Styela clava: one gene and its partner. The protein of the gene in region 2 interacts with the protein of the main gene of each other region in a pairwise test. Links are inferred from orthologs where the notes say so. Each region holds a gene or a part of one and is shown on either strand. Other genes may lie near its edges. The genes, in order: DNA replication complex GINS protein PSF1-like and DNA replication complex GINS protein SLD5-like.

What was found.
Region 1: the proteins of DNA replication complex GINS protein SLD5-like (region 2) and DNA replication complex GINS protein PSF1-like interact in a two-hybrid assay, tested with the Drosophila melanogaster proteins (2 studies listed by BioGRID). The link is inferred for Styela clava from reciprocal best matches to the Drosophila melanogaster genes Sld5 and Psf1.

The regions. Positions count from the first base shown.
Region 1 is NC_135253.1:5,300,528-5,310,058, reverse strand, and holds DNA replication complex GINS protein PSF1-like, read right to left. Parts: upstream 4,190-9,531; 5' UTR 3,531-4,189; coding exon 3,456-3,530; intron 3,152-3,455; coding exon 3,087-3,151; intron 2,707-3,086; coding exon 2,605-2,706; intron 2,389-2,604; coding exon 2,298-2,388; intron 1,889-2,297; coding exon 1,805-1,888; intron 1,358-1,804; coding exon 1,184-1,357; 3' UTR 988-1,183; downstream 1-987. Other genes in the region: uncharacterized protein LOC120326422, read left to right, coding at 5,228-5,350, 6,275-6,407, 7,644-7,691, 8,186-8,356, 8,441-8,508, 9,058-9,169.
Region 2 is NC_135258.1:9,238,688-9,248,781, forward strand, and holds DNA replication complex GINS protein SLD5-like, read right to left. Parts: upstream 4,565-10,094; 5' UTR 4,473-4,564; coding exon 4,371-4,472; intron 4,222-4,370; coding exon 4,096-4,221; intron 3,120-4,095; coding exon 2,947-3,119; intron 2,277-2,946; coding exon 2,188-2,276; intron 1,689-2,187; coding exon 1,501-1,688; 3' UTR 1,241-1,500; downstream 1-1,240. Other genes in the region: estradiol 17-beta-dehydrogenase 11-like, read left to right, coding at 1-57.

The DNA of each region.
Region 1 (9,531 bases), on a different chromosome or scaffold from region 2:
AATTTTTGTATCTGTCACCGCCTACTTTGATGCCATGGTAGTTAGTTATTAATATTGCTATGTAACTTATACCTTTATGTAAAGATTAAAATATGACCTTGGGTGAAATCTGTCTACTTGTTGTATTCATTTGTGTGGGTTAGTTAACTTCTACAGATGACATGGGAAAACTATGCGGGCCAAATCAGACTTGTTGGTTGACATGGGAAAACTATGCGGGCCAAATCAGACTTGTTGGTTGATTCAATCTGGCTGGCCTGATGCTGCCACAACCAAAGCTGAAACTAGATTTTGATGTTTTAGCTAAAAAATAGCTCAATGAATTTGTTGAGATTTCGATTAAATTTAGTTTTGGAACAAGGCTTATTGTTTTCTATGTTTGCTTTTGTTGCTCTGTAAATATTGTTCATAAAATGTAATTTTTTACGCCACAGTTACATGGCCTGCCAGTCTAGGTGGGCAAAATTGTTGGCCCATAGTCCAAAAAACCTTGCCCACTCTTGTTTTAGAGGGTAGTAGAAGAGAGAAGCAGTATTTTATTCATTACCATGTGTAAATGATACACTAATAAAGAGAAACAAAACAATATTATTAGACACAGGTAAAGGGCTCGCAGAGAACTGCAGTGGTTATTTAGTTCTAACAGCCTATGATGCATTGCTGTTTACAATGGTTTCATGTACATAAGTCAAAAGATATGGATTGCGGGGCAAAAAATATGTAGTATTTTTATTACCTTTTAAATAACTGAGCATTGAGGGACTACACGATTTGAATATGCCAGGCAGGTTGTCATGTTTTAAAAATATTTCCAGTCATTGAAAGCTTCTACATTATAGTTTTGGTTTAGTTTCCATAAAACTGCCAGAAGGGAGATGCGCTCTCTAGTTGAACACTAGGTAATCATAGGTGCGGTGGCGAGAGCATTTCCAACTCTAAGCATGATGTGTCACACTGCCAAGCCTACAATAAATGCAATCTGGACTCAAGTCAGACAGATATATATTGTTCTCATGAAGTACAAAATTTCATCCTAAAGCTCTAACAAAGTATTATTTGGCCATCGGTACAGTAGAAAATATCACATGCTGCAGCGTCGTCTAGGCTGCATATTCATCCACCAACTTCACTGGCATGGTAACCAAAACCCCTATTCAAATCAATAAGGCATTAGCTCAACCATTCATGTGACATGAGTTAGAATCCCCTGCCTAATCAAATGTTCACATTGTGATCGAGGTAGAAAATGTTGGCTGTTTTTTCTTAGCAAAACCACAGTTCCATCATCCATTTCAAATTGTCCATGATCCTCCACACACCTAACTTCAATGTATAATGACTTGGGTGGCGTCATGTCCTGAATATAAATGAAATTGAATCAGAAAAATGCAAGAAAATAATAATATAATATACAGGAATGGCCAAAACCCAATATTTTACTATTTCGAATACAATTTGAAAAAATATACACACAGCTTTATTATGGAAAGAATTCTTTACTTTTATTTAGAAATATTCAGATAGAAAGCATTCAAATTAGTATTCAATATATATAATTTAAAGCGGTAAATTAAATTATTCCTGTTTGGAAATTTATCGCTCATTATAAGCATTTGACATGAACTAATTCAACTTCTGCCGCAATAAAATCGAATTCAATCATATCTCAAATATTTTGCATAAAAAATCCAATTCACAATAATTTCTGAAAATTACTCCACCAATCCAGTACATATTCGATATTCCATAATCTAAAATTAGAAGAGTAAATGATTTGGTTTTGCTATCCATCTTTGATACCAACCTGTGTTAGATCAAGACCACCCATTCCACCGATGGATCGCATGTAGTTGGCAAGAGATCTGTTGTATCTCGTAAACCATTGAATCTGATTTGATAGAAAAACACAACTTTTATTGCCAACTGGAGTTAGACTCATTGACATACTTACAATGGCATTTCGTACAAAGTTTTGATGGTGATTGTAATCAACGAATCTGTGAATGACTATAATATTTAATTATGACAAAAGCATTATATTGAAATAAACCTGGTAAGAAATATTTTATCATAGGTCACAAAACCATTTTGTTATAAATTAGTTACTCCAATTACAAAATACTATTTCAGTACTTCATAGCTGTTTCGGAGTATTTACAAATATAGCTTATTACTATGCTATATGATTGATAAACTAGTAAATATACTTGAAAATTATTTAGATAAAAATTATTTTGAAATTGATACAAACATGAAAAAGCACAATTAAGTAGCCTACATGTATAGATTATACTCACTTCTTTCTCCGATAAATTACTCTTGATTTCTGGAGGTAAAACACTACCAAATTCCCACCTCATATCTCTGATTTTATGAAGTCTATTATACCTGAAAAATGATTTTTGCATCTGCATTCATCTGTTGCAATCTGACAAAATAGCTTGTTGGTAACTTAAGAGAATGTAAGGGGCTTATTTATCACCCTAAAGTCATGTCAGGTACTAGTTATCAAGCCCGGTCAATGTTTTGAAATCTTCAATTTTAATATTAAAAGGACTTCAACAGATTGTTATACACAGATATTTTAAGCAAAATAATACATACAAATAGGCCAGCAGGCAACGCTTGTTTCGTTCCAATCCACTGTGTCGTATTTTAACTGCTGCCATTTTACTTCGATCTGAATCTGGATTCACTAACTCAGCACTGGCATTAAAAAACATTGTTCAAATCAAATAGGTTATTGTACGACACATAAGTATATTCAGGAGATCATATCTTATTAATTAATCTTTTAATTCGAATAAGAAAATTTGTTTTAAGAGTAGACCATGCTTATGATACTTGTGAACTAACCCACAGCAGACTGATTTGAATTTCTTTATTAACCTCGTTGACAAATGAGAATGCCATATGCTATACTGTTTTCACTTCCAATGGGCATATCTTTTATAATCTCTGATACTATGGACACCTTTTTACCATAACATTATTTTTTATTTGCTTTATATGTGTGATGTTGCTAAGGCAACTCTCATATATGAATATTGATTGGTAGAATAGGTTCCATTCATTGTCCAACTTACACATCTTTTTGATTAGAGTCGTAAAGAACTTGCATTTCTTCTAGTACTTGTCTAACTCCATCTTCCTGCAAAATAACAATAAGCAAAACATTAGAAGAGACTTTTCAACTCTCACAGCTAGGGTTCAAATCCAATGCCAATCCTTTCACCAAGTGTACAATGAAATTTATAAGGTTCACTTGAACCTGAAACATAGCAACTGCCTGTAATGAGTCTTGTTCGGAGCCAAGATATGTAAACACCCGATGAAAATACCACAGCCTTGTTACCAAAGAAACTTTTTATATATAAATATATTGAATTTAAAAGTTAGCAGGCTGCTGCTCATATTAGGCCTTAAAGGTGTGAGTGAAATTTAAAAAAACTCACATTGTAAGGCGTTATCGGTCCATCTTTATTCCTGTACAAGTCTCTAATGAGTTCTAAGCCTTTCTCACCAAACATTATAGAAGGCTTTCAAGACCATTCGAATCTAGAACAGCTACTTTTCAATTTATATTGCAGACTGAAGGTGTGCTTAGCTCAAAAGTTTTCATTAAAATGAAACAGATTTATTTTATTCTGCAGTGGAAAAAATATTTTATATACATACCTGTGGGACATTTTGGTCAGCCAATCTAATATTTGTTATTACTGTGTAAACCAAAGATTTAAATCTTAATAGGCCATATATGTATGTTCATAAGCCTCAAAAAATGTGAAAGTATCCACATAATAATTAAACAGTATAACAGAGAGGGGATACATGTTCAATGCCTTACTGGCCAAGACACAGTTGAACAACCTAATGTACCCATAAAAAGCATTTACCGGCAGTTCAGAAATTGACAGTAAGTTGGGACCAGAACTGGTCATTATGAGACTGCGATTTAAAACAAGTTAAAAATAAAAAAACAATGGATAATTTAAAGAAATTAAACAAATTAGGGATTTGTAGAAATCTTTATATATGATTTGGAAAAAATCTATATAGGGAAAGAAACAATTGAGACACAATAGATTGGAGCAAAAATGTGGTTTTCCTTCTGGCGCAGCAGCCCTGAAATGACCAAGATTCACCATGTCCTGATGACATTCAGCTGTACTCCTGTACGATATTTATTGCTGTATTGTCACATGCAAAATCAAACCAAGCAATCATTTTTATTTGAAGGAAAAAAATTAGGAGATTCTCAATAAAAGGATTGTACGAACGCCAAAACTCCATGTGCAACAGGCCATATGAATTTTCGAAGGTGATGAAAAAGAGAAAACTTTGACAAATAAGGGAAAAACTTTGGCCCACGGTCGCATTTTCGCGCAGATGTCGAAATAACTGTCCTGCAGTCGATTCCTGCCACTTGACTTTTTCTAAACCTAACACAAAATGCATGCTTAACTTACATAAAGTTCATTAATAAATGTAAATTTCATAAATACTTTCCCTTGATAGACAACTCATCCTGTCATTCCAACCTGTCACTTAATTCATAAATTCACATCCAACCAACACGACCGACAGAAGAAAACAGCAACAAGACGTCGAAAAAATCGCGCGACTTGTTGTTGGACATTCTTAGTGACCCGTGAAGAAAACGTAAAGCAAGCGGTCGTCTCTCGTCGTCGATTAGGAGACATAACGTGCCCGTATTATTTTCAGAAATATCCAACATTTCGATTGGAAAGTAACGACTCTACGAACTTTTTCGTGTTCGCAATGTGTTCGAAACTTTTACACCCTGTCATTTTACAAAAAAATACGGGCGTGAATTGTATCACTCTCATACAGATTGTTTCATTTTGGTTGAAATTGTCCAATAATTACACTATTTTCACCAACTACTCGTAATACCCTGGCAAAAAACACTGACACTTAATCTATTTGTTTTTATAAGTTATTCAAAAAACAAATGAATGAATACTGGTATACAGTAACAATCGATTTTCCCAAATCTTTCTGGACTTTATTTTACCATGGCCGACTGTCATGCGTCGACCAAATGTTTTGCTCTTACTAAATGCGTGTACTTGACAGGTAATTCATCTTATTCATGTGCAAGTTTATTCTACTCTCAGACTCTATAAACCTTAAATTGATCTGTCTGTTGGTCAGTCTGAAACTAGTCTCCATTTAATCTTAGTAAGTTTCACTAATACCAAAGATGAATTTTAAGCGCAAAATCCCGAAGATGCGACAAAATTTTCTTCATTTCCAAATGAATGTTGGCTGCAACCTCCAGGATAGCTTGTCTCTGATTAAAAGACCAAGAAATCGTCAGAGCAAGGTAAAGTTGATCACATGTGGTTACACCATTAAAATAACTTTACCACCACTTGCTTACTTCTGCACCAATATTTATGTATCAATTTTATGAATTTATTGAACTGTTACAGACTATAATCTGTATTATTGACCAACCACTGTTTCAAGTGTTGATACTGAAAATGTTATTTAAAAGTCTTGAAATCCAATATTTTTACAACAATTACTGCTTAAAATATGGTTGGCTACAGATATTAAAATTTTTTTTTTTAGATAGTTTAATAACGCATTCTGCAGAATTATGACATGAGTCATAAAATAATGAACTTCTTTATCTCATGGCAGACCTGGTGCAACTGCTCTTATATGTCTGATTGAGGTCCCCCGCAAATGGAAAGCAGCTTCGATTTTAAGTGCCCATGATTATGTATTGCTTCTTGCAGCGTTTGAATAATCAACAGTTGCAGACAAGCCTCATCTATACAAATCCTTTCAAATCTCACATTTTCTCTGATAACGTACCACACATGGTGTTGAACTGTCAAAAACTTTTATACCCCTTTTGTACCCCTATTATAGCCTATTGTTTGTCTTTTAAAATTCCCATTCCTAATAAACAAACCATTCACACTTGAAGGTTCACGAAGTCCCTTCAACCCTACTAATGCTCTTTTATTTCACTCAAATTTCAAGCGTCCAAGGCACTCAGGTTCAAATGATTGAGACCATGCTTTCAAAAAACGAACATTTTCAATAGTTACTGTCAAGAATAGCCCTCAGGATTCAGGTTTTCATAAAATGGTATTTCGAACATTGTGATTAAAATTCTTTTTATATCCATTCTTATTCCCAAATCGTTCCTGGGACCATTTGAATATGAACCAAAATACAATACTCAACAATAATAACTATGCAATGGTTTCATGCAATTTCTCAATGATTTCAGAAGACCAAAACTGGAGTGAATCAACCAATTGCTAATTCTTCTTTGAGTTCCACACAAGAAACACAAAGTGGAATGTCAACATTATGTATGATAGAGGATGTTGGTCTTGATGCTGGTTTTAGTACTGATTCAGGTATTTTACTGAAAATTTATCAACCTTGCATTTGGGTGTTTATCAGAGCAAAAATGCACATTCCACCATATTGATCATGATTATTTTGTATCCGGGGATATTGCATTGATCTGAACAAAGTTAAAAGAAACACTGGTTTCTCCATGCTTCCGAATATTTCAACCTTTTTTGATTTTATGCAACTCATTTCTTTAAATGTGTCTGATAGGCTATTGTTATTTGTGTTATTGTGTAACTCTAAGCAAGCATGACGGTATATTATTTGTAAAATGGGAATGAAATATCTTAACCATAAACATCACAAACACTAAGTGATAATAAATTAATGTCATCTATTATTCCATTGAGCATGTTTAATCTTCACCCTAATTTGATTGTTTGAAAATTATTTACTTTCGATTTATCAAATATCGGTACTTAACTGAGTTCATTCTGTACATCACTGTATTAAGCATCCCGTGGTGCAGTAGATTAGCGCAGTCTATATAATTGTCATATATTGCTAAATGTAATATAATCGAGAGAACTAGGTGAAGACCACAAAATCTGCAATGACTGCCAGATCATTATGTTTTTAGAGGTTATCAGATTATTTTATTTTATTTATTGGGTCACAGGTTGCAAAACATTATTGTGTGATACCATGTCAGCCATTTCCAACTAAAAACCTTCTCGGGCTGCATATTACATTTCAGTTTTGTCACAGGCGCACATTAAATAATATGTCATGAATTACAGGTTAATTTTGTAGTTTACTTGAACAAAAAGAGATATGATTCTTCCCAACTTTTTTGTAACTGTCGGATTTTATTCACAAGCGTCCTCTCTTGTCGTTCCAGACATAACCTTGTTTCTGTAGCATCAAGCCTATAATATGCTGCATGATTTCGGTCGAATATTGCATCACAATACACTTGGGTGAATTCTACCTACGGTAAATTCTGTTGTAAATGCCTGAGTGAGGTTTAGTGTCGAATTATTCAATGATTGAGGTTCAGTGTCGAATGAATTTGTCTGCGGGCTGCGGGTCGGACACTGTTATACTTTGTGATTAATCCTACTTGAGCAAATTCGAAAAATGATTATGTGTTGGCTGCCTAGTTATCTGATAATGTCTCAATTCAAGCTTGTTTATCAATACATGGAGAGAGGTAAACATTGAACAACTTTGTGCATTTATTTGTGCACTGAAAATGTGTTTTTGATTTTAAACTTCATATCTGGTTTTTCATACAGATTCATCTATTGAAGAAACGCGGGATGCCTGTTCTGTTATGCCGACTGGTAATTTATTTTGCCAAGTTAAATATATACACTTTTTTTGACATGAGCTGTTGAGATTTTATTGTATTCTCATACATATGCAATAGTATTGTTGCAAAATTTACCAACATAAATTGTCTTTAATTAAGGCATGGTTTATGAACTTGCCATAATTAGCATTGCTAATCTTCATTCATCTTCAGCCAAACTTCATGCTTTTGTCATAATTTCAAGGATTGCTTGTAAATTGTAATGTAATCAAGTTCCTGCTCGTACCTAGATACATTGCCCCCAATAATCCCACACAATTCCAATTACACATGAAAATTCAGCTCAGCCTTCTAAATAATAGTTTTGGGCATTGTCCGCTGTTGTGCATGTTGCACCAGTATGTGCTTAGGTTGGCGCCACATGCTTGAGCGAACGTCTCATTATCTCTAACATTATAACGAACTTTAGATTTTTAGTTTTTTTTCCAATCAATCAAATATTTCTATAACTTTACTTTCTTCCAGAAAATGTTATACTACCAGACATCATCATCAATAAACCAGACTCTAGTCCAGCGCAAAATAATCTAGAAGATACCCTTCATTTTAACATAAAGAATTCAACAATGAATCAAAGTGCTACAGAAGCTGGTATAGAAGATATTGAAATGCAGGATTTGTCTCCTATAAAATCTAGTAGGTTTGATATATTATGTAGTATGGTAAGTTGCTTGTGTTCATAGTTTTTTTTCATAACCGAACCTATTTTTTTATTTTCAGAAGATAACAAAAAAAATAAAAGAATTAAATTACTTGACGTTGGTGACCAACTTTTATCACGTGCTTCCGTAAGTTTTTTTTATAATTCTAGTTATATTCGTAATTCTATTTACTAACTTTTTACTAAATCATATAAATTTGGCAAGTTTTTGATAACCTCTGAATAGTATCAACCAGTATCAGAGAGGAAATAATATCTAGAAGTGATTTCATTGGTATATAGTTCATGTGTGTATTCATGGATGTTACAGAAGCTTGACATCGAAGTTAGGAATAGCAGTATAAAGCCCCAATTGACATATGAATGACCTCCCCAGTGAAGGGCTATTGAACTTCCATAAAGGAACCTAGGGTTTGATTTGTAGGTTATTCATACAAGGCTTACTGCTAGTCAAGTGTAATTTTTTATGCAGAAAATTATATTTAAAGGGCTCTAGTCAAGATGAAATGCAATACAATCATCTATTAAAAACATGTCTGTGCCAATCTTGAAATGCTAAGCAATATATTTATTAGCCACAAAAATGATAATTATGGGGAATCATATATATAAGGAGGTGCTAGATAACTCATTTTGTGCTGGACGTAATTTTGAACAATTCTTTTTTCTTTTTTAGCTTCTATGTGAGAAATCATCTGTTTCAGAATCACATTCAACTGGTAACACACCCAGGCATATCAAAAAGGTGATGAATAAATTGAGAGCCATTGGGAAAAAGAAAAGTTTTGGTTAGTTGAGCTTTTTTTTGCTTGAAAAATAAAAGGAAAGCTGTGGATGAAAATAATTTACTGGAGCTAATAATACATGTGCGTTGACTTGAGTTGAACAAAGCTTTTTTTTAGTCTAGGGGTCCTTTATTCCAGGGTTTCCAAACTTTTTAATATTGTTTCCCCTAAATCGAATTACCAAGATCTTAATTACCCCTTCCATAAAATACACTAGTCATATCGATATCACTTTTTATTTGATCGAAGATGGCGATAATACTAACACCTATTACATCTTCGGATTCGACTTGCGCTAGCTCAGCATTTCAGCCTACGATGAAGTATTGTTATTATGTTCCTATGAACGACTAGATGACTAGGCT
Region 2 (10,094 bases):
TTGTTTGATTTTATTGATCCGCAATGCGATAAAGTTGATATGAAGAAGCATACCTAATTTTTTACTTAATTAATATACCTACCTCTAATTTGTGGTGCTGTCATTCATCAATAATCTATGCAAAATTTCAATTTTTAATCTAAACATCATGATGCAAATGTAATTTTCAAACTAATTTTTTCATTTCTTGTCTTCATCATATTATGTAAAAGAGAGATTTGATTTCACAAATAATGTCAACTCAACACTATAAAGCATTTGAAGCAACAGAAACATTTCAATAATAATTGGTTATCATTATTTGTGAGATATAACTATCTGCTCAAATTTTATTCGGAAATTTTATTCGGAGACTTCCTTCATTTTCGCGAGGTTTTGTCATTTCAGGTGAAAAATCCTCAAACGTTAAATTTTGTTTTATGCATTTCATTTACAAATTCAATCAAGAAACGTCACCAATAATACTTACAGCCATGATAGTTTTTGGAAAATAGACAGTTATTCAAATTTTTAAAATAATTGACTTTTCATGTAATACCCATTGAATAAAATTTGAGTGGTTCAATGTGAATCTATTTCTTATGTATAGCAGGATATTCATACTAATTCTGCGAAGTTCCATCAGTGGATAAAAGGGAAAAAATGATCTTGATAAGAATAGAATGAAAAGGTTAGTTTACCTGTGCACAGAACACGTTTGAAGCTAAGTATGTTTACAAAAGTAAATTAGTATGTGCGTGGTTAACAATGCTACAATCATCAAATTCATTAGTACATATGTTATATGGTGTTTCTCCAGTTTGAATACACAATTTTACGGCTGAAAAGGTCCATTTCAAAGTATTGACTCACCTAAAAGAAACGTCTTCAACTTACTGCCAAAAAGATTCCTTCAAATCACAATTGAAGAAAAAAATTTTCTGCAATTACTCTAAATATGTCGTGTTGGTGCTGAGTAGAACGTTGTCTATACATGATTAAATTGTGGTTTCCAAGGAAAATTTTATTGACAGTCCCAAGTATTACTGTCACTCAAACTTGTTCATCGCATTGCTATGAAATCTACTATGAATCGGACCTCTACTTGCAACAGCAGCGAGGTTTTGAACTTTTAGCCAACACCACACCATAACCAGACTCCAAAAATTGGGCCACATTGTACCATGAAATTTAATATATGTGTAAAAAGTAATATGATTGGAAGAAGACATTTTGCTCAGAATGTCAATCGCCAGTAGAAGAGGTTCAAACCAATACTTTAATTTCAAGTAATCAAAGTTACAGAAAAATAAACTTTACAGCATTTAAACAGAAATTCCTCACAAAAATCTTTAGAAAATACAGTACAGTATCGAGCTATCCATACAACTGAAAGCTGTTCATTTTCAACCAGTGGAAACAAGCCTTCATCCTTAGCTTCGCAGCAAGGTTTCTTCCATTGAGAGCTTCCTCGAACATATCACAGTGCGCGTTGCCATGAGTCCTTATCAACATCAGTAATCATAACAATATCACAGCTCCATTTTGTACCAGTTCAGCAATAGGTTTATATCTGATTAAAAATTGTGATCCTTCATCTAAATCTACTCTATCTGATGTCTGATCATCTGCGTCTTCCTCTACAATAACACCATCTTCTTTTCGAATCGCTTTTAGGAATACATAATGGTCGAGGTTTGGTGCGTGAACTGTAACGAAATAGAAATTTTTTAATAAGGGTATTTGTACACCTCAAGCTCTGTAGCAGACTATGCACAAGTACATTTTATTCTGCCACAGAGAAAATGTTAGCATGTAAAATTTCACTTTTCACTCCATAAATGCTTATATGGTTAAATTTGGTGTTACTAAATTTGGAAGATGAAGAATCGTTAATTAGGCTGTAAAAATTGTATATATAATTCATTCTACTACATATTCCCAGACAAGCTACCAAATCGAACAATAGCTTGTGAGTCCCATTGAAAAAATATACCAACTAGAATCATCGTCCCATACACAATGTGTCCAGTAATGAGATATACTGTCAGGTATGGTCATACCCTCATAACACAAGTTAAAAACCACTCATTGACCACAGAAATTGTAAATCTCTCTTACACAATATCCACACACACACTTGGTTAAAATTTTCTGGCTATCACAATTGAACTGCGACAAAAATGTAGCTACAAACAGTGTTCTCACCTGTTGTTGAAAGCTCTACATTCTGCATTACTCTTGGCATATGATTGAGCGCAACTGTTTTCATATGCGTTTCTATATTTGCAGAAAGCCTGAACAAAACAAAAGCTGCAGGTAGCAACATCAACAATACACCTTACGTATATATATAATTGGGTTGGAGGACATAATAAACTTTAATGTCCAATTGAAGTAACTCGGGTACAGTCAAGTAGAGAAGTTTAATGAGTCCAAAAAACGTGGATTGACACACTAGGTCGACAATTTATCCAACCTGGAGATAAATTTGATTGTTTTTGGAAAGAAATTTTACTTTGAAATTGATGACTTTTTTAGCATTTTTGGAATATCTAGTCATACAATCATTCAAAATATTGAAAAATCCAGATTGCAAGTTACGCATATCATTTGCTAATGATCCAACAACATACAATAGCAGAGTTCTTAAGTGTAGTGAGGAAGGAATGTTTCAAAAAAAAATGCAATGCTCAATACCTTGCCAGGTTCCTCAGCTCTTTTATACTAAATGGTGTGGAATATACACACGTAATTCATGTATGACAAACATTCATAAAAATAAAGATGCTTATAATAACACGAAATGGCATTACCTCGTCAAGTGGAGATTTACCAATGAAGCACTCTGTCTTACCCCCGAGCATAGGTAAAATAAAATTGATGGAAAATGGATATCAAGGACTCCACGATCCCAACTTAAAATCAGGTCAACAGTGATTTATAATTCAGAATTAAACGACTCACTCTTTTGCAAAAGCAAATTCTTCTGGAGATAATCTGGATGGTTCATCTTCAGATCTTGTTTTTTCTCTTTCAAGAAATACTGGTCCATGTATCTCAATCTTCTTGAGTCTACACCTCAGATAACTACTCAGAACATAACGTATACGATCCAGTTCCATTCTGTGAATACTAACCTAAAATATTAACAATAATAAATGACAAATGAAAGAAATAGGCCCATTAACATATTACAAACATTCATTAACCCTTTCCGTGCGGTGGGCACGTATACGTACCCATGACAAAACTCGCTAGATTGCGGCGGGTACGTTGATGTACTCCACTGTTTTATTTAGCAATCGGTCGCAAACTGTTGGTCTAGTTTTTCCGGATTTTAGTTTATTGATAAGTCTTCGAGATTAACATAGGCGACGGTAAATCTCGCTTTCGTTTACCATGGAAATTTTATTTGCGGCGGAACGAGGGAGTGTTTTTGAAATTTATGCAAATTTGGGTGTTTGGGTGTAATAGAAGACATATTATCCCTTCCATCTACCAAAGTATTTTGAGTTAGATAACGAAATTGCTACAGCAATATTATGCTATTGTTTGCCAACCAAGAAGCGGTAACAGTAGAGGATTTAGCGAATATTTCTATTTTTTATCACGGTTTGAAGTTTCAACACCCAAGAAAAAAATGCCTTTTTTCTATCTGGTTTGTGACTCAGACCACCCCTTTTAAAAAAAATTTTAATCGCCAATTGCAAGCTCTTTAAATAAGCTTTCCAACGAGCCGTCAGTGAGCAGCAGAGGATCAATACTTTTTCGTTAGTCGATCGATTAGTTGTTGGGGTACAAATGCATAAAGTCGGCGTAGCAAATACGATTATTTAATAAAAAATAAAAATCGCATGGAAAGGGTTAACTACTGTTGTAATGAAGTTGATTCAAATTCATTCAAAACCCTAATGCACAATAAGCCAATGTCATCCAAAAATTATCTGTCTACAATCCTATAATAAAATTCCCTTGTGTATATTGAAATAATAATTTAAAAAAAAAAATTAAAAAAAAATACATCTGACTTTATCAAATGCACATATTTACTTCTGAATTCTGAATACATCAATATATTATTTCCTGAATTGACATGTCGATAAAACAGCATACCTTTATATCCCCCTTCTTAGCTTGTTTCAAATTTCCTTCCATTTCCGCAACAAGTTCCATCACGCATTCAACAATTTCAGATTTACATTCCAATAAATCCGGTGCAAGTTTTTCATTCTGCCATGCCTGCAAAAAATTGAAAATGCAAAAAACTAAAAAATTATCTTACAGTCGTTTGAATATGAGATGTCATTTGTAATTTACATTTTGTAGCAACTGATTAAACATGCGTTAATAGAAATGTTTATATGACAGTATGACCTTTACCAATTTACCTGTTCCAACTTTTTTAATACTTCTGCGGCTGTCAATTGTTCTTCCTCAGCATCACTTTGATTAGGAGCCAATATATCACTGATATTCAGATCATCGGCCATATTTTATTATAGCAATAACTAGGCTACTACCGGTATCTAAACATACAATACTCATAGACTCAAGATATGCACATCTTAAACTCGTACTCGTATTAATACTGTAATAATACACCAGTTATGTGGGAGAGATTGTCGAACACTCACGTCGCGAGGTCCCTTAACAGCTGACCTTTTACTGTTTTACCAATATTTACCAATAGCATAAGCTATTATTTACTGAGATGACATTTAATCCAGCAACCTCAAGACACTAGTGAATTTTATTTTATTTTTTTGAACTAATCTGCAGAGCGAAACCTGTGATAGATAACCAAGCCGATTTCTCGCATTGGGGAATTCCCTTAGAATATTCGCGCGCTTCATCTTGCGGCGCCAAGTGTACATTTCTGGGATAGGATTGAATTTCCATACCATCCCGGTGGAGGAGGAAGGTCGATAATACGACTCAATCATATAGTAAACTATTGCCTCTTGTCCAGTCTATACCGTATGGGATTAGTTAGTCAGGTATTTGTTTCAGATGCATGTACTTGATAGTGGGGGATGTTGTAACGTAACCGACCAGCCGTCGTGTGAACCACCCTCAGTGAGAGGAGAGCTGCAACCCTATCGCACATAACTATCCCCGCATGGTATTGGAATCTGTGAAACTACCAGGGTGATCAGAATTGCGGTGGCGACCGTATTTCTAGATGGCGAATTCAATTTAAAGATGATGAAGATTACGGATATATACCGGTACTCGTGATCATTCCCTACCACTGTATACTGTTTCCCATCAAATTGTTTAAAATTTCACGGACGCTAACAAATAATGAAAGAAAAGTGTTTTCATCTCTTCTGCGCTCTTTCCCTCTCTTCTGCGCTGTTTCGCGTTCTTCTGCGCTCTACTGCGCGCTTCGCGCTCTATTCAGTGTTGTTTCGCTATTTTCTTACGTCGCCTAGACATGTAAGGTAAGGTAAAGGGTTTAATGGCGTCTTTGACAACTCGGTCTTTTACGCCAAATTTCAAAAGGAGTAGTCAGAATGATACAATAAAAACATGTTTACAACTCTCGTTTGGTGGATATAGCAAATTTAATAATTATTGGAATCAAATTAGGAACATTGAAAATACTAATAATTTCCCAGGGTACATTCATTTTTGCTGCTTCACGTCTTAATTCGCATCGTAAATTATTATACTTGGGACAATATAAAATAAAATGGGAAACAGTTTCATTTGTGTCACATCGACTACATTGCCCTGTGGGATGTAGCCCTATTTTAAATAAATGATAGTTAAGTCTGATATGTCCAGTTTGAAGACGAAAAAATATTATTTCTTCTTAATCATTTAATGGGCTATGTGAGGTCGAAAGTTTTTGTAATGGCTTGCAGTATCGTTTGCTTGATATGTTAAATTCCATTTCGCAAGACATGCTTGCTTGCACAATGTCTTAGCTTCTTTTAAAGACCGTTGAAGAACAGCATTAATGACAATTTTATTTGCTCCGTCTTTCGCCAGTCGATCCACTGCCTCATTACCGCTAATACCAATATGTGCTGGTATCCACAGAAACTTGATATCGGTCGTGTGACAAATAATAGTATAAAGTAGTTGTATTTTTGTTGATAAAAAATGTTTAACATTCCAAATATCCTGAATGCTTTCCAAGGCAGAAAGACAATCGCACAATATTAATACTTTTGAAGGCCTATTTTGCGATATCCATATCAAACTTCGATATATGGCATATAATTCCGTACAGTAGGAAGTAGATAATGGATCGAGGCGGAATTTATTCGAAAATTCGTATTCTGGAATAAAAAAAGCAGAACCACAGCGAGTTTCAGATTTTGAACCGTCAGTATAGATCTCCAGGTAACCTGGATATTCCATTTCAATATACTCCAAACATTGTAACACAAAAACAGTAGGATTGTTGTATGTAACAGACATAGTTGATAAAACTGTATCCACTTCAGGCGGAGGCATATTCCAGGGTGGAATGGGAAAAAATTTAGTGTTGTTGACAACTATGTTAGAAAAAATTCGAGAGGTCGAGAGCATATTAAAGGTTACAAAAGAATCAGAGTCTGGATAGTACTCATGCCAAGACTGCTTAATGAGTGATTCATTAGGATGATCCTTGTGAGAAAGGAGCAAGCATTTGTATGCAAGGCAACAGTTAAGATGTTGTATATGGAGCGGCATTTCGTTACAAGACTCTTGAAGTGATATTATTGGAGTGCTCTTCATAGAGCCACCGCAAATACGTAGACACGTATTTTGTATTTTTTGCAACTTCTGTAAAATATATGGCGAAGTAAAATGGTATGCTTCAATGCCATACATCAAAATTGATCTGATGAGTGCCCTATATAGTGTTAAAAGGGGTGATTCCTGATAACGAATGAAAAAGCATCATCATTTTGCGGTCTCCTCCACCCTCTTTGTTTCTTTATTATAATCACACTTTTTTCTTGCCACGTCAAAAATTTTCTGCGCTCAGGCGGTCTTTTCAAAGTTGACGCTGTCAGGTGAGCATTGATTTCATGTTTGTGAATTTTTAGGATCAATCGTTTATGTGCATACTTTTTCATAATACGCTAATTTTTTCATAATCCAACGCTTGTATCTTCAGCCATTTTTCATAGCTGTACTAATGCAATTAAACTAAGCTTTGGCCTACAGTTATTGATCCAAATGTCTACAAAGTGGAATTGAGATTACAAGTTCTGAAATTGGTGAGATAATCTAAATCAGCAATGATTATTAGAGATAATTTCATTCTTTCAGTTAGTTAGCCCATAGCGTAATACTAAATGATACCTAGTGTGTAATTATTGAATCAAAGACGACGACGTAAACAAATGGAGGCGATCGAGATCAATGAAATGTCCCAAGTTAGAACAAGTAAGAAACCTGAAATCGTATTCAAATTTACACTTTGGATATATTCCATATATACGAATTGCCCTCATCTTACTATTAGCTTATGTTAGCTTTTATTCAACCTATATAGTGCATCTTAACCATGTTACATATTTCAGTGTTTATACAAACTGACTGAACGTAAACATGCTGCGAATGTTGACATCTGAAACTGCTTGAGCGGAACAAAAGCTACGGTTAAATAAATATTCATTAAATTATGGATTACAGTTATAACAAGGCCATAATATAGCACTAGATTGAATTGAGAGTATACTTGGGTTGAATCAAAGACCCCTGGGAAGATATGCCTGTGCAATGATGTTTGGACCATTTCATAAATGAGATCTACATTCTACATAATTGATGAATTAAAAACTCAACAGAGATGCGGTTGTGTTGGGATGTTCCGGATATAGTACAGGTGATATTATTTGCCCAATTTTTTTTTTAAATTACTTCTCTTGTCACTTCTTTTGTTGTTTATATCCAAACATTTTTTTGTCATTTTAAGAATTTACGTGGGCCAAAGTAGCGTTCTCTTTTTCCATATCTTTCAGTTATACTAATGCAGATAAACCTAGGTTTAAGCTACAATTGTTGATTCTGTAACGTAAAAGTTGTGTTGCTGCTATGAATGGTCTTCTATCTGCGAACTTATCCGATAGTCCCGTCGACGACTTTATATTAGACTTCTAGAATCTGGACTCCGATATAAAGCAATATTTAATCAGAAGGTTCTATTGGGAATTCTCGAATGGGATAGTTGCGGGTTGCCCACTATATTTCCTACCTTCTCTCTCTTTTTTTTCTTCTTTTCTGTCTGTGCTATTTTGGGTTGAGTTGGGTTATTTAAAGGCTTTTGGAATTACTCTGTTTTGTGAATAAATTTTCTATCTTTATTTATTACTTTCTCGGAAAGAAGGTTTATTTTCAACCGATCAGAAACTAGTTCGTTTCGTTTTTGATAGGTAAAATTTTGGGAACATAGTATTAACATAGTATTAAAGCGATGATTGTTTCCAAATTCCTGACTCGAAGACTCATGGAAGTTTAGTTGAAGAGAGGCGATCAAGGATTAATAAGGTAACTGTTAATTTATTTACATTTATGCCCAACCGCATGGCAATATAGTATGGTGAAGAAGAAATGGTGAAATAAAAGTGATAAAAACACGCTGTTGTACATCCGTTAACTGCTGTCCTTGCCTGGTCTGTTTCTCTCGTATCGCCGAATCGGCATAACTTTGCAAGATACTTTGATGTCAAATAACATCACATGTGATTGGCAGATGTTTCACAGGCAAATACATAAAACATATTACCAGGTATATATATAGTTAACAAAAGGCAAGCAGACAGATTGCCTGGAACGTCTAAGCCGCTAACGTTTAAGCCGCGAACCTTTTTAGAATTTGTCAAGTTTCGCGCCCCACCTCAAAAATAACTTGCTGTATAAATAACGGATAGTTAAACGAAAGTATACTTTATTCAAAAATACATGTTGAAAATACGTAAAAGGAAAGTAAATATCTAAAATAAGGCAGGCGAGATCAATATAACAAATATTTATATTTTTAATTAGCTAAACGCAATCTAAAAAATTGTCTACGCCCCTTGTGCGCGATCGCCACTGCTCTTTACGATCAGCAACTATCTAACTTTATTTTATCATGTAGATTCTGTCCGGATTGCGGAACAAGTGGATTGAGGCGACAACGGATCTCTCAAATCATCTGTCTGTTCAAATTAGGCATTTTTATGATTGCGCATTGTTTCAGCTAGAATATTTGATATTGTTTTATAGTCTTTTATAGCTGTGAAGTCGGGATGTCGTTTAATTTAATTAGCAGTCTTGTGTACTTGAAAGTGTTAATTAAGGCGCATTTGTCATTGTTGGGCGAAGTCTTAAAACCCAATAGTTCATTACCAGTTCACAAGTTATTCCGTTTAGAGAGTTTTGGTAATATTGGTGAGCTAATATTCCAGTTGCGAAAACGCACTTCTTTGCCTCGTTCATCGCTGCTTTTTCCTCAATACACCACAGAAATAACTATAGTTACTGTTGCTATTTGCGGCATTAGGTACACAGACTTGCAGAAGAATTTACTCAAGTTGCCGGTCTGGAGTCTAAAATCGTTGGACCTCAGATCGTTTTGTTATTATGTTATTATTGGGAATCTTTTTCTTGTTTCTGTGATGAAAAAATAGCCTTTCTCTATTAACTATACCAGTCAAAATTAACAATTGCGCGCGTTGTGGAGTAGTCTACTATGACAGATTGCATATTCGTACTACTTCGTTTTGATTTTCGTGCCCATATATTTGAGCATCACTATCGTGATGTATCAAGTTGAAAGCTTAGTTTCGAACAGGGGCGTAGCCAGAGGGTCAAATCCCCCCTCCCCTCTTTTGGAATGTGTAAAAACGACGACTAATAGGCGCGATTTGCCACGCGCCGAATAATCGCTGCTCCGGATGCCGTCAAGTAGAAGCGACGTGATTGGTTGTGACTAAGGCGATTTATGGACCTTTTCCCGACCTTTTAAAGAGTGGTTTTGCGAGTTGTCGCCTGTAAAATGGGGTATTTTGCTTCAAACCATTATTCTGATTCATAGCATTCAATAATATGTTTTGTAAAAGTACCGGTGAAGAATTTTAGCCTAGTCTATTGCAGCTATTTGTACACTAATTTTTTTTCACTGC